Linked DNA regions of Oryzias latipes. The protein of the gene in region 1 interacts with the protein of each later gene in a biochemical or structural test. Links are inferred from orthologs where the notes say so. Each region holds a gene or a part of one and is shown in the gene's direction. Other genes may lie near its edges.

The links.
Region 2: of the proteins of mcm7 (region 1) and cdc7, one has a biochemical effect on the other in vitro, tested with the Homo sapiens proteins (2 studies listed by BioGRID). The link is inferred for Oryzias latipes from reciprocal best matches to the Homo sapiens genes MCM7 and CDC7.
Region 3: the proteins of mcm7 (region 1) and chek1 form a complex in vitro, tested with the Homo sapiens proteins (2 studies listed by BioGRID, with this or other methods). The link is inferred for Oryzias latipes from reciprocal best matches to the Homo sapiens genes MCM7 and CHEK1.

What each region holds. Positions count from the first base shown.
Region 1 is NC_019868.2:6,626,691-6,632,200, forward strand, and holds the start of mcm7 (DNA replication licensing factor MCM7), read left to right. Parts: upstream 1-2,157; coding exon 2,158-2,188; intron 2,189-3,540; exon of another isoform or gene 3,541-3,583; intron 3,584-4,070; coding exon 4,071-4,150; intron 4,151-4,347; coding exon 4,348-4,512; intron 4,513-5,075; coding exon 5,076-5,200; intron 5,201-5,292; coding exon 5,293-5,473; intron 5,474-5,510. Other genes in the region: cohesin subunit SA-1, read left to right, coding at 1-35, 1,090-1,140. UniProt on the Homo sapiens protein: Acts as a component of the MCM2-7 complex (MCM complex) which is the replicative helicase essential for 'once per cell cycle' DNA replication initiation and elongation in eukaryotic cells.
Region 2 is NC_019875.2:5,919,473-5,924,838, forward strand, and holds the start of cdc7 (cell division cycle 7-related protein kinase), read left to right. Parts: upstream 1-2,052; 5' UTR 2,053-2,359; coding exon 2,360-2,444; intron 2,445-2,875; coding exon 2,876-2,962; intron 2,963-3,045; coding exon 3,046-3,181; intron 3,182-3,344; coding exon 3,345-3,438; intron 3,439-3,509; coding exon 3,510-3,652; intron 3,653-3,716; coding exon 3,717-4,008; intron 4,009-4,101; coding exon 4,102-4,209; intron 4,210-4,280; coding exon 4,281-4,429; intron 4,430-4,664; coding exon 4,665-4,747; intron 4,748-4,819; coding exon 4,820-4,969; intron 4,970-5,197; coding exon 5,198-5,366. UniProt on the Homo sapiens protein: Kinase involved in initiation of DNA replication. Phosphorylates critical substrates that regulate the G1/S phase transition and initiation of DNA replication, such as MCM proteins and CLASPIN.
Region 3 is NC_019872.2:13,130,371-13,134,535, reverse strand, and holds the end of chek1 (serine/threonine-protein kinase Chk1), read left to right. Parts: intron 1-711; coding exon 712-795; intron 796-992; coding exon 993-1,059; intron 1,060-1,132; coding exon 1,133-1,301; intron 1,302-1,404; coding exon 1,405-1,533; intron 1,534-1,619; coding exon 1,620-1,721; intron 1,722-2,642; coding exon 2,643-2,738; 3' UTR 2,739-2,960; downstream 2,961-4,165. Other genes in the region: V-set and immunoglobulin domain-containing protein 10-like 2, read right to left, coding at 3,207-3,358. UniProt on the Homo sapiens protein: Serine/threonine-protein kinase which is required for checkpoint-mediated cell cycle arrest and activation of DNA repair in response to the presence of DNA damage or unreplicated DNA.

The sequences.
Region 1 (5,510 bases):
ATTCTGACAATGAATCACAGTCTTCTTACACACTGGTAAAAAAAAAAAGTCCCACTCCCAGTCAAATTTTGCTCCATTTTTAGCGTTTCTTTTTAATATCATTATGCTGTTTTAGGCTAAGTCAGAAAGACCTGTTGTTTTCTAGGACAGTTTCTGCAGAGCAGCAGGAGTTCAGAGCTCTGATTGTACACTCTTGCACTAGCTTACAGCCCTAACTTAACATCATTAGAGGGGGGGGATAGCAAGCCTTATTGGAGCTATCCAGTGGTGCAGTTTGGAGCCAGTGGATGCATCGGAATGGAGCAGAGCTGGGAGAGGCAGCTAGGTGCTCTCGGAGCCAGCCCAGTGGATTTCACACAAATAAGCTCTTTTTCCAGCCGCATGTTTTCATCCGATTCACAACACTTTGAATGCAGAAATTCTCACAAAAACTAAGCTTAATTTTGTCAATATGTTGAAATCCAAGTTTATTTAGATATTATTTGTCCTTCTAGGGAACACATCAAAGTGCTTTCGATATAAATAATAAAATATAAATACTAAAAATAGTTCTAAAAAAACACCTACTCATTCTGCTAAAACTATGTAAAGGCTAAGCTACAAAGATGAGTTGTAAGTTTTTTTCTTCACAATGTGACGTGGTCTGGCCGTACTGACCTCTGAGATCACCAGCAGACCTGCGCCTGAGGACCTGATGACAATGAAGGTCCAGTTTCATTGAAACTTTTAGAAAAAGTAATAAAAGCATCTTAAAATGGATCCTAAAGCCGACTGGGAGCTAGTGCAAAGATTTCCAAGCTGGAGTAATGTGCCGCTACTTTCAGGTTCTGGTTAAAAGGCACAATAAATATGTCCTCTATAGTCAGAAAAGAACATGTGAAAAAGACCAGAAACCCCATTTTCATTGGAGCGAGTCTGTAAAGAAGAAGTAGAGATCCTGTTGTGAGCTAGCTTTAGTTTTTGTTCAAAGTTGAGACGGTTGGAATGATCTGTAAATCAGTTTGTACGGTTAGTGTTCCGCAAACTGTTTTGGTTGTGAACTATTTGATTGTGAAGTTAAAAGCGTCCTCTGGTTGTGTTTTCTTTCAGCCTTCTACAAGGCACACCTCCGTCAGCGTCCTGGATGAGCTCTTTGACTGAAATCTTTCGGGGATCCTCCAGCCAGATCTTCTGGAGCTTCAGGAGTAAAAAGTACTTAAAAAAAAGGTTTCTTTTTCTGTTTGAGAGCTGTTGCCCTTTGTAACTTTGTTTATAAATATTTTTGTTTGTTGTAAAAGATGAAATATTTTTGAAAAGTTGAAATGTTTATATTTTATTGGAAGTAATGTTCGAAACCTGTCAGCTTTTTTATAAACTGAAAGTGCAAGGACTTCTTAGTATGTTGTATTGTTGGCAACATGTGTTTTGTTAAACAGTTTTGTTTATTTTTTTAAGACTCTTATTCAAAAGTGTTGTGTTTGGTGTTTCATCATTTTTGATTTTGTATTTCAAAATGAAATTAAATGTTGTAAAACACAGGTATCGGCCCTGATTGATATGTGTGATGGGAAAACATGTGTTAGGTTTTGAATGATTTAAACATATAAAGCAGTCAACTATATGCTTTAACAACCATGACAGATCATAAAAATAATAGAGCCATTAACCAGAGCTGAAAAAGATACCAGTGATTGCATAAAAATCTCTTACCTCTAGTTTTGTTTACACATTCAATGAGAAAAATTACCTATAAACATGTTTGCTTTTGCATTTTTTTCTATCAAACAAAATGTAGTTTAGGGTTGGATTTTGCCCTGTACCTCCTTTGTCTTGTAGGTTCAGTCTGTTCATGCAAAATCTTATCGTCACATTTCGCGCCATTCCTGACAAACTGGGCGGAAGTTTATCCAGTCACGTGAGACGTTGTCTCCAGCAACTTTCCCGCCACTATCAAATCCCGCCCCTCCTCTGTGAAAGCCGCGAAACTATTGGCTGATGCGATTGTCAGACTCGCGCCACTTTTTGCTCTCCGACCGACAGGAGCTGGGTGCTTGTGAATGAGTTCAGCACTCCAAGAATAGAAAATAAAATATCTATTTAAGCTTTACGTTTGACTTCATCTGGGCTTTGTAGCGTTGCGTTACGAATCATCTGTCGCGGAGCTGAACGCCTGCAGCCATGGCGCGAAAGGATTATGCGGCAGAGAAAGGTAAGGACTTGTGTGTCTGTGGAGAACAGCATGGCAGCAACAGGTTGGCCGGATTTCCTTTTTTGACAAATATCTTTAAACGAAAAGCAAATCGTGTGAAGCTGCATGTCGCTGAACATTTCATATGAAGATTTACGTGTTGATGATGTCATTCATTAGTGAACTTTATCTCATACACTACTTTATCTCACCTGTAATGCCAGTTTTATACTTTTAATTTCTATTTGTCGTGGTTACATTACAGCACGGTGTGTTAGAGTAACCCGTTAAGACATAACTACTCCTAAGATGGTTACTAATAAGTTGGTGAGTCGTACTTCGTTGGAGTTGGTGACTCCGCGGTGACCCGGATGGAGCCTTAAACAAAGGAGCAGGCGCCACACTCAACTTCAACGCACATGCCCTGCGATGGTGGCCCGCAGAAAGTTGACATTTCACAATGTATATAAACAGTCTGCCGCCTTTAACAACAACTTTATCTTTACGTACAAATATGAACGTATATTTTTAACCAGCATAAATAAAGTGCTTTTCATGATTGGGTAACTTCTACAATTTCCCTTTATGGTGAAAAGGCTTTTAAACACCACAAAATCACAGGTTTTGTAGTTCGTGTACACAGAGTCCAAATGTGTGGCCAAAGTAGAGACTCCAGCCTTTTTCCTGAGTGTTAGCATGCTAGCTGCGTAGCTGTTGTGGCGTCCGTGAACGGGCCATTTTGTATTTAGCGCTTCGTGCGGTGACTCAGCCGGCGCTGCTGCTGCTGCTGTAGAGCCGCGCAGTCCGTTCCCTTCCGTGAAAACAGACACGCTAACACTTCAGACTCAGGGTTTTGAACATCTATACAACGTAACTACTGACAGACCCTTTAAAAAACTTGTGTGGCAACAAGCAGAGTCAGGAAAAAACACACACAAGAACACAAAAAACGATGCAACTAAATTGTGCTCAAACACCTCTCAGTGTATGTAAACGGTACTTATTATGCGCCAAACTAGTTTTCATGCTGTTACATGGATAGTTTATGGTCCCCGGGTAAAAATAATTTATGTTACCGTTTTTGGATCAATATATTTCGGGTTTGCGCATGTTTAGAACACCCCTTGGGACTAGTTTTTGCCGTCTCCCCCCTTACCGCTGGGCTATTTATCCTATTAAAGATGCGTTTGGTCGGGGCGGCGTGTACGAATCACTACCCTGCTAGCAGCAGCTAATGATAAAAGATGGCTGGCCGCGGTTAGAAAACAACAGCATGGACTGCTTTTAAGAGCGGAGGAGCCGCGGAGGGATATGAAGTGACGCGGCACAAAAGCCATGTGCTGCTTTGTTTACAATAACATCCTCGACCAGATACGCAATAAAGCCACACTGGCGCTTTCCCGTTGCTACCTACAAGTAAGTTAAATGGTTTTTATCGCCACACAAAGGCTGTTTGTTTGTTAATTCCGTTAGTTCCGCGGTTCTGCTTCCGAAGTTGGGGTTGAAGTGTTTTCAAAAAAGAGGGGCGCCGAAGTGAATGCGCGCTTGTTGTTGTTTTATTTACAACGCGCTCTGAGGAAAATCCGCTCCAGGAAGCCCGTTTGTTGTGTACCCGAAAATCGCGCTAATGTGCGCACCTGTGCGAAAACTAGCTTCCATCAGGGCTCCGGCGGCTAATTGTGTGTTACAGTAGGCAATAGTGACTCATCGAGATTACAGGATGCCATGTTACTCAACAAAGAGGGTCGTCGCAGGACAACAAATTAGCTCCCAGTTTGCAGGCCTGCAGCTTCAAATTGATAATCATTCTGTTATAGGAATATAATGCATAAAACTGTTTTTGCCAACAGCATTCAAACCGCCTTTGTTTGTATTATTAAGACCGGGGATTTGTGTTTTGCAGAAAAGTGCAAAAGGTTCCTGCAGGAGTTTTACACAGAGGACGGCAATGGGAAGAAGGTGTTCAAGTACGGAGCACAACTTGTGAGTACAGCCAATGCACAGCACATGCATTTATGGCAGATGGAGGCGTTTCAGAGAGCGCCTGTTTTCTCTTCTCATTGTCATTATTATTCCAGTTTATCCACCATAATCTGCTTTTTAAATCAACCAACTGAGTCCTTCCCATCAGCTTGTCAACATGCTTGTTTTTCTAATAGCTTTGGTGTGTTTGTGGATAGGTGGCTTTGGCCCACAGGGAGCAGGTGGGCCTCTTTGTGGAGCTGGACGACGTGGCTGAAGAAGACCCTGAGCTGGTGGAGAGCATCAGTGAAAACGCCAAACGCTACACGGGCCTGTTTGCCGACGCCGTCCACGAGCTGCTGCCAGAGTACAAAGAGAGAGACGTGCGTTTTAGCACATTTTTTGTTGTTGTTGTTCTTATTATCTTGTTGCATGGATTATTGCAGTTTGTCTGCAAACAGAATTGTGGTCATCTTTAGTAGTTTTTTGACAATCTTACATAGCTTTGTGGTAGAAGAAACGTGTAATTGTTGTTTTGGTTCTATTGTAAAAGCATTTTCAGTGGTCTTTTAGTTATGATTGTGTTGTTTTTAGGTGAAATCCATGTCATTTCCTAGGGCAGGGTAGGAGCGGGGGCTTGTGGCCAGCATAGCTTCTACATAACAGTCTTTTGCAGAGTGGTCTTCCATCTGCTTCTGATTCACAACAATTTTGATAAATAAGTGCAATGTTAAGCTATATGTCCTCCATCATGAGAACAATGTCACCCAAAACACAATTTCCATCATAGCGGGTCTTTAAAACCGCCCCACACTGACGACGTTCTGCTGTCAGGACTACATTGTGGAAGCAAACGGAATAAAGATGAGCTCTTTTATGCTGTTTCTATCTCAACTGAGCGAACCATCAGCCGGTCCATCAATCTGAATGTGTTTTAATAATTCAGGTGGTGGCTAAAGACTCTCTGGATGTGTACATTGAGCACAGGCTGATGATGGAACAAAGACTGCAGGACTCTGCAGATACCAGAGACTCCCGAAACCAGTACCCACCAGAACTCATGAGGAGATTGTACGTAGATGTTCAGATTTATTCCAGTATTTATTTATTTTTTGTCCTTTCAGCCTGAATTCTGCTCTGAAAACTGCTTCTCCCGTCCACAGCGAGCTCTACTTTAAACCTGCGAGCACCTCCAAGTCCAAAGTGGTGCGCGACATCCGAGCCGACAGCATCGGTCAGCTGGTCACCGTTCGGGGCATCGTGACCCGCGCCACTGAGGTCAAGCCGATGATGGCGGTGGCGACGTACACCTGTGACCAGTGCGGCGCCGAGACCTACCAACCCGTAAGCTCGCGTCCAAACTGGCGTCACATTCGAACCA
Region 2 (5,366 bases), on another chromosome or scaffold:
AGGGAGCATGGACTAGGTGGGAGAGTACACTGCAGCGCAGGATTAGCTGGGCAGACATCTTGCAGGCAGACTTCCATCGGGTCCGTTTCCTGGTACAAGCTGTCTATGATGTCCTGCCAAGCCCAGCAAACCTCCATGTCTGGGGAAAGAGTGAAATGCCATCCTGCCTCCTTTGCTCTGGGAGGGGCTCATTAGAACATCTCCTTAGCAGCTGCCCAAGGGCTCTGGCTGATGGTCGCTACCGCTGGCGCCATGACCAGGTGCTTAAAGCACTTGCTGAGAGTTTAGCCTCAGCCATAAAAGCCAGCAAAAACCAGCGCGCTCCAAAGAAGGCAGTACCCTTCATCAAAGCTGGGAAAAACCTCATGTGCGAAAACAATTACCGACAAGCCTTCTCCACAGAGCCTTGGACTGGCAGCTGCAGGTTGACCTAGAAAAACAGCTAAGGTTCCCTCAGCACATTGTGAGAACAAATCTCCGCCCAGATATGTTATTAATCTCGGAGACTTCAAAACATCTGATCATGCTGGAACTCACGGTGCCCTGGGAAGAGCGTATGGAGGAAGCAAACGAGAGGAAACGCGCTAAGTACCAGGAACTGGTTGAGGGGTGCAGGGAAAGAGGCTGGAAAACATTCTATGAGCCTGTAGAAGTTGGCTGTAGAGGCTTTGCGGGACGTTCCCTTTGTAAAGTCCTCTGCCGTTTAGGTATCACAGGGGCGGCCAAAAAGAGGGCCATTCAATCTGTGTGCGAAGCCGCAGAGAAGGCCACGAGGTGGCTGTGGATGAAGAGGGCTGATCCGTGGTCTGCTGCTGGGACGCAAGTCGGGGTCTGATCAACCCCGGCTGGGTCGCCTGGGTGAGGGTGTATGATGTTGTGAGACCCGAAACACCCGATGACCTCAGGATACATCACTGAGGATGCGTCCCAGTGCATCCATGAGATGTTTCATGTACAAGACAAAGTTAATTCATTTAATCAGAGCAAGTGTACAAAATTCATCAATTTTACCTCGAATCCCAAACTGTTAATTGCTGTTTTTTTATTACAGATATAAAATGATAGAGCACATTTAACCCTTGTGCTATCTTAGATGACCCCACCCTTGTATTGACGTTTTCTCCCTACCATGACAAAGGTGGATAAAGGTGGAAAGATTTCATGTAATCCATGGACACCAGCGAAGATCACAAATCATTGAAGAAAAAAGGTTCAGAGCACTGTCTAGTGGGTCTAGATGACCCAACTCCCAACGTTAAAGTGCCTAGGATAGCACAAGGGTTAAGACACACCCAGACAGCTAAGTTGAATTTCTGTCCCAAAATTTTCCAAATTAAAACTCATCTAACCTCCAAAACAATTAACATCTTTCGGTGTAAGGAATTTTTACATATCAAATGTAATTTCAAGATAATTTATGCACCATGTGTGCAAAAGAAAAGGAAACCTAAAAAGCAGATGTTTTTTGGTGATTGTGATATGATTAAGGTTGACTGGAAGTATTTATAAATGTGGCTTTCAACAAACAAACACGATTCCAACATTGACATACCTGAACGTTCAATTTGAAAATGAAAATAAGAAGATATATTCAGTTTATTTTTAACTATTTCGTTTTCTAGGATTTTTTAATTTATAAATATTGTTTTCTGAAAGAGAATCCAAAATGTTTGGTATTTAAAAAATTGGTTTTATGGAAATCACTATAAAAATGCATAATAAGAAAGCTATAAAACTCCTGAATAATTTATTGGTTTATCTGGGTTAAAGCCTTTGCTTCTGTTGATAAATTTTTTCTCATTTACTCTCTAATAGTTGATGTTTACCTATTAGGAAAACTACAGGCCTCTCATCTTTTTAAGTGGGAGAACTAGAACAATTGGTGGTTGACTGAATACTTAAAAAAATAAAAAATAAAAAAGATTCTCCTGGCTCCAAAATACAGTCACGGTGGCGCCACCATGTGGAAGGATAATGTACTGCCGTAGAACGAACATGGTCCATTGGTCACGTGTCGGGAACTGTTACATCGCGAGATCTGGTGACGTCACTTTTAGCGCGTAGTTTTCTTTTTGTTGATGAAGCTTTCCGGAAGGTCGCAAGACAAATACATATAGTTGAAAGTATGGGGTGTTTGTGTTCTGTGTCTGGCGTTCAGAATTTTTTTGTGTTTTAAAGTTTTTTTACTTTGTGTAAAAGTTTTCTCGAAAGCCTCGCTCTTTACAGATAAAGAGGTGAGTTTGTTTGTGAACGCCATTGCATTTCCGAGACTTCTTCCCCACGTAGAGGAGGTTCTGCTCCCGCCTTGTGGAAGCTCATCTGACCCGTGGCACGCGGAGGTGGGAGGCTGTGGTGTCAGATGGACGCGTCCGCGGTCTGCACTGACGGAACCAGCACCACCGGGCCTGGGAGCCAGGACGGCGCTCACAGGAGGAAAGTCTCCAGTGAGTGATTGACAGGCACGCACGCACGCGGCTGAAACGTCCGCAGAACGGGACAGCGCGCGCGCCCTCAAGTTTCTGACCGTTACTTTGAACATTTTTCTACAGATTCTCAAGATGAAAAAGTTATAGTTTACATAAAATTAGTTGACACTGATTTATCCGGTAATAGTTTAGTTTAGAAAACGGAGGAGGTTCACCACACAGTTAATAACCACCTGTATTCAAATCACTATATTCCAAATGTGCTGAAGCAACAGAAGGCAAAAGCATTAATTTGACCTTATATTTAGTGTTTAAATCTGCATTTAGGATCATTTTAACCAGCGGTGGTTAAATGTACTGAGGCCCCTATAGGCCCCTAAAACACATTTATGTAAAAACAGCAGTTTTCCACTTCTGCTGTCAGGCGTGTGACCCGTTGTGTTTTTCAGAGGATGTGCAGATGGACATTGAACATCTCTGCAAAGCTGTTCCTCAGCTGGCCACAGCTTTCAACATCTTGGACAAAATTGGAGAAGGTATGTGGTTTGATAACAGGAGCTTCATGTTGGAGGGGCAGCCCTGTTTTGAGCGTGCATCTCTGTCCCGCTGTGTTCGTCAGGGACGTTCAGCTCGGTGTACCTGGGCGAGGCACGGATGCGGGACGGCAGGAAGGAGCTGTTTGCGCTGAAACATCTCATCCCAACCAGCCACCCCACACGCATCGCTGCTGAGCTTCAGTGTCTGACCGCAGCAGGGTGCGGCAACAGCTCCCTTTTGTGTTTTTTTAACTCTTTCTTCTTAAATAGTCTGAGATTTGAAGAAACTACCTCCTTACTTCCTTTTGCTTCTTCTGCATCACCTTTACCTCGTCTGGCTGGAACTGTCTTCCTGCAAACTGAAGCGATTGACTTCTTTCAGAGGGAGGGAGAACGTGATGGGAGTGACTTACTGCTTCAGGAGGGATGACCATGTGGTGATCGTGATGCCCTACATGGAGCATCGGGCTCTCGTGGTGCGTTGCACAGACAGCAGCTTTAAACCTGGTTTTGGTTTCTCTTTCTGACTGGACTATACAAATGTTAGGAAATCATCGGGTCCCTGAGCTTCGCTGAGGTCCGTCTGTACGTCTATCACCTGCTGAAGGCGCTCCGACACATCCATCAGTTTGGCATCATTCACCGGGACATCAAGCCCAACAACTTCCTGTACAACCGGAGGAGCGGAGTGTAAGTGGGCGCAGAGCATTGATGGCGTCTACAGCAGTGGTCCCACCTCCTCTTTCTCCTGCAGGTACGCGCTGGTGGACTTCGGCCTAGCTCAGGGCACAGCCGACACCAAAATCGAGTTGCTGAAGGTGGTGAGACCGAGGCCTCTGCAGAAAGGTGGAGGGTCTGCCCCACAGAGGAGCCGAGCACCTCCTAAACCCTTTTCCAAAACCACCTCTGGTTCACTCCCTGCGCCTCCACGGCAGACGGGAGCTTTGCCACCGTCCTCTTCTCCTGTGTCCTCTCCGGCCTCGCAGAAACCCCCGGTGAAAAAAGCACGCCTGCCCACCTCCTCTCTTCACACGGCTCGGTCAAAGGTGTCTCCTCTGCAGAAATGTGGTCGCTGGGCTTCGTCCGCGTCTCCCGTCTGAGTTCTTGCACCAACCTGCTGCTCTGACTCCTGTCTCTAGGACCTGGGGGGGCTGCGCAGAACTCCACGACCCGTGTTTGGTGAGAGGAACCTGAACAGCTGCACGCCTGCCCCCTCCACCACAGCGCCGGATGCCAGGAAAGCAGAGGTAATCCTGTGATAGAGCTGCTGCCATGTTTTTCTTTGACGTCTGCAGCGTTTTCACTCCTGTGCCTTCAGGAAGCGCTCAGCTGGAGGCTCTCCTCGGCGAGCCGAGCGGCAGGCCGGACTCTCAGCAGCAGCAGCCAGAAACCTCAGAGGGCCGTCCAGCCGGGCCTCACCTGCGACTGCTTCCTGACCGACCGCGTCTGCAACATCTGCATGTCCAGGTAAACGTCCCAACAGGAAACTGCTGTCCTCTTAGAATTGGGCTGCATTCCAGTCTGAAGTTTTCTGAAGATGACATTCAGACTGGAAATTCAGGGATTCAACTTTCAATCATCTACAATCCTTCATTAAAACAGTAAAAGAATGTTTCTATCAGCTGAAATCTCATTTTCATTTCTACAATTTTGCCTCTGTTGCAATAACTTGTCATGTTTTCTCATCCGATGTTTTCTGAAGAAAGCAGCAGGTGGCGCCGCGGGCTGGAACTCCTGGCTTCAGAGCGCCTGAAGTCCTGACAAAGTGTCCCGACCAAGGCACAGGTTGGTAGCCTCGGCCTGGTGCAGCTCCTCAGGCTGACGCTGCATTTGAAGTAACCTGCCTGTCCTCCGCAGCCATAGACGTGTGGTCGGCCGGCGTCATCCTGCTCTCGCTCCTCAGCGGCCGCTACCCGTTTTTTAAGGCCGGCGATGACCTGACGGCGCTCGCTCAGATCATGACAGTCCGAGGTTCCCGGGAGACCATCCGGGCAGCCAAGACCTTCGGTTTGTGTTGATCTTCTCCATCCTCTAGTGGAGGGGCTCCAGCAGAACCTCCTTGCTTTTCAGACACGGCCGTGAGGTCCGGTGCCTCATTTCAAGCGTCGTCTCTGATTCTGTTCGGGTCCAGACGGCAGATGGAAACACTGACCCAAAAACTGAAAGTGTGCAGAAATCGGGAAGTGTTTTTGAGGGAGGTGTCTTTAAAGTCGACCTTTTTTGGCCTTCCTTCAGGTAAAGCGGTGGTGTGCAGCCAGGAGCTGCCCCCTCAGGACCTCAGGACTCTGTGCGAGACTCTGCGAGGACGCAGGAGGTCCTCCACAGGTGAAGGCGTCCCACCAGCGATGGCAGACGCCTGTCGGAACAGAATGGACGGAGCATCGGCGCGTGGGCCCGCTGACGC
Region 3 (4,165 bases), on another chromosome or scaffold:
TTTTGGCATTAGTAATGCCCACACTGTGCCCTCAGAACAACACTTTTTTTCCTCTTTTCCACCTCGCCAACGATAACTTCTACTTCACATTGAGTGAAGTTCCGTTTTTTTGATTTCCTCTCTGTATTTGCCATGGTTTCGCAATCAATGAATATTCATTTGTGGGCGTTTCACGGACTATTTATGGGCAACTATGGGCGTTTCATGCAGCCGCAAAAGCTGCGCTGCATTTAGAATCGGTTGTGATTTTTTAAGGGAAAGATGCGTAGGATGTGCGTGCGCACGGTTTTATAAATCCGGATATTTCTGTGCGTACGCACGTCCTATGTTTCATCCGTACGCCACTTCTGACACAAATCCTACGCATCAAGTTTTATAAATGAGGCCCCTGATCTTTAATGTCATTCTCCCAACAACTGCTCTTCACATGTGGTCCCGCGTAATCATACTCCCACCTCATTATAACATAAAAGCTTCTTACCTTTGGTGGAGATTTCTTAGACTTCTATTCCAACATTTCTGTCTTTTCTTTTAGTTCATTGTGTTTGTTCTATCAGGTTCTGCCATTGGAGAAATATGTTTGATAAGGAAAAGACACTTCTGTGTTTGGACTAATGTTGGAGCCTAGTATCAGATTGCTTTAAAATAAAAGTGCTTCAGTTTAGATTCAGAAATGACTTTGTTGGATGATAATTCTTCTAATGTCCTTAGGCTTGTTGTCCAAATTACTGCAACCCAATCCCAATACCCGGATCACTGGAGAAGAGCTAAAGAAAGACCGCTGGTTTACACAAGGCAAGAGGCACCATCAGTCCCACACAGACCTGCTGCAAAGATTTGATCCTTCACTGTTGGAATATTCTTGGATAAAGATATAATGAAAAAGTCATTATTTTACAATGACCTTTGATATGCTTGTAGTTTGTTGAGAAGTTCTGTAAAATGGGTTTAAGGCAGGATAATGATGTATTAATGAATCTGTGCCTCCTCAGGATGTCTGAGCTCGGGCTGCAGCAAGGTTCTTCACAACAACAGGGATTTTATGTTCCGTGCTAGCAGGTCTGAAACGTGTCCTTCTCCTCCTCCTTGTGTTTTTGTTGACCCATGTGCTTAAAGCTCCTCTTCTGTGCAGTGACGACAGGATGCAGCTGTCCAGCTCTCAGCCTGATTTTGCCGCTGGCGGCTGGGAAGCCATGCTGGTGTTTGGGCAAAGCGAAGGTCAAGTCAGCTTCTCGCAGCCGACCAAGCCTGAGCACATGCTGCTGGGTAGTCAGTTACTGGCCACGCCTGGAGCCAGTCAGGTGATGGTTAAATTTCAGGGATGGTTCTTCTTCTTTCTGGATGTCTGTTATCATCTATCGCCACCTCCTCCCAGTTCTAACTTCAGTTTTTTGTGTTCCACAGTCGCCGTGGCAGAAATTAGTTCGGAGAATGACCCGTTTCTTCACCACAGTGGATGCTGATGCAACTTTGTCTGCGCTGAAAGACACCTGTGATGCTCTTGCACTCGGTTTCAAACTCACCTGCAGACAGGTAAAGCTGTATTTTTTGTAGATGACCACGTTTTTTTTTTTAAGTAAAAGTGGAAAGAAACATCGATCTCTTCTCAATACTTACAGGTAACTCTGAACACGCTGGATAAACGCAACAACCCGCTAGTCTTTAAGGTCCTGCTCCTGCATTTGAACCAGAAAGTGCTTCTGGACTTCAGGCTGTCTAAGGTAGGTTTAGGCTTTGTTTTGTAGTTGCCCCATGAATCTAAATCATCGTCACTGTCATTCACTAATGAGATAATAAAAAGACCACCAACAAAAGCTGAAAGGTAAAAACAAACCAGTAAAAAAATTGTTTTACATTTCTATTTATTTTATTGTATTTGTCTGACTTGGGAGTAAAGATCTGGAAAAATCAGAAATGACTGCAGAGGACAGTCCATAGTCCCACTCTGATCATCTTTTGATCTATTGTCAAAGTGTTCCCAGTCATCCTTTTAATTATAAATATGTCGTTTTTAGTCAAAATCCAAAAACTGTCGTTTTCTAAGACAAAGTTTCTGCAGAGCAGCAGACGTTCATTAGAAATTTGCCTCCGAGTTGTGGGCGGAACTGTTGATTCAGAGTAAGCCTACCTCCATTTCCCAGCATCCCTTTAAAATGCACTCCCACTAGCTTACAGCCCCTAGCTCACACTCCCTTACATTACCTGTGTAACAAAATTTCGAGCAGTATTGGAGCCATCCTGCGGTACAGTCTAGAGCCAGATTCCAGCTCAGAGAAAGAAAACAAAGACGTGCATGGATGTATTTGTCTGCAAGTGGATGCATCAGATTGGAGCGGAGCAGGAAGCTTGTACCCAGCGTATTTTCTACGTCACAACTGGGAGCTTTTTCAGGACATTTTTTCATCTGCTACTGAGTCACCACAGTTTTAATTAAAAAAAAATACTCAGAATTGCTGTTTTAAACTTGAAGTCTTTTCTATATGTCCTCCATAATGAGAAAAAGGCCACAAGATCATGTTAAAAAGACGTGTCTATTGTACAAAGGCTTCCTGTCTTTGGCCTTTTAAAGTACCTTCAATGTTAATCTCTTACAGTAAAGGATAGACCAACAGGTATTCATGTTTTCCTTGTGTTTTTTTTAGGGTGACGGTTTGGAGTTCAAGCGCCTCTTTGTGAAAATCAAGCAGAAGCTGGGCGACATTGTCAACAGTCAGAAGATTTTACTGCCTGTGGTGTGAACAGCTTCAAATGGACTCCAGGCTTTCGCTGTACATATTTCCGTGTTGTGTGTGAAAGTTCCGCTGTCATCGTGCAAAGTTCCTGTTTAATATTTCTAGTTTGAAAGTGAACAAACTCGGTTATACAGTGACAGACTGCTTGTGTTTAGACTAAGATGTTTTTATTACATTACATGAATATTAGGCTTTACAAAGAGATGAATAAATGACTGACAGACCAACTGTATGCTGCATCCTTCGTAACACAGACATAACCTATTGTGGAAAAACTTCAGCTGAAAAGAAACGTATAAATAATGCGGGGGAAACAAGCGCCCACTGACCATAAGGTTTTGAAATGACTGCGCTAAATAATTTTATTTTTTTAAAGTGCTAATATCTGAAATCTCTGTGAACAGATGGGTTGGTTTTTTTTTTTTTTTTTAGAATGCTGTTGGACCCTTCAGCTATGGTCAGCATCAGGTACCACTACGAGCCTGTAGCCTTGACTGTGATAGTGACGCTGACGGGCTCGTTATCATCTGTGGGAGGGGCTTGGATTGTGGGGGTGGGGCTTGGAGTGGCACTCGGAGGGGGGATGGTAAGCGGTGAGGCTGCTCGGGGTATCGCAATAACTGGACCTGAAAAAGAGGAATAATGGACAGTTGAGAAACTTAAGGATGCCTACCTGCCTCCTTACTAGGTCTGATCATTGGATGCAGATTTAAGATCTGAAACCTTACTCCGTGTCCCAATGAGCTCTTGTTAGAGGCTAATTTAGAGATGATTCTAACAAACAGTGTTGGCTTTGTAGTTGGTACACAAGTAGGTCCCCTTTCACTAATAGAAATTAGTCAAGCCGTAGGCTTGTTTTTTTACTATTCAAAAATAAAGTTAAGCTTGAAAGGTAATGTAGTGTTTTTGACCTGTGATCATTAAATCCTGAGATCTCACCATTTTATTTCATTAATGGGTGTGTTCTAAAACCTGTCCCACCTGTTTGTTAGTCCAACCTTTTGCTTGATTTTGGTTATTCTGGGCTTTGATAACAACTCCGAACTACCATCAAACGTTACCCAAAATACCCAAAACAATCAACTGGATTCCTAGCTTTGCCCTCTACTCTTAAAGACCCACTAGGATCACCTTTTGATCTATTGTGAAAGAGTTCCCTGTGATCTTTTTAATTATGATTATGTTGTTTTTAGCCAAAATCCCAAAACCTGTTTCCTTTTTTAAGACATAGTTTCTGCAGAGCGGTAGTAGTTTGTCTGATATGGACTAAGCCTTTGCTCAATTCCCATCACCTCTGTTTAAAATCTATCCTGCTAGTTTACAGCCCCTCAAACCCCCAACCTAACATTACCAGTGCAACAAAAATGGTGAGCAATATTGCAGCTATCCAACCGTACAGTTTAGAGCCGTATAGAACTACAGAATTATTGATA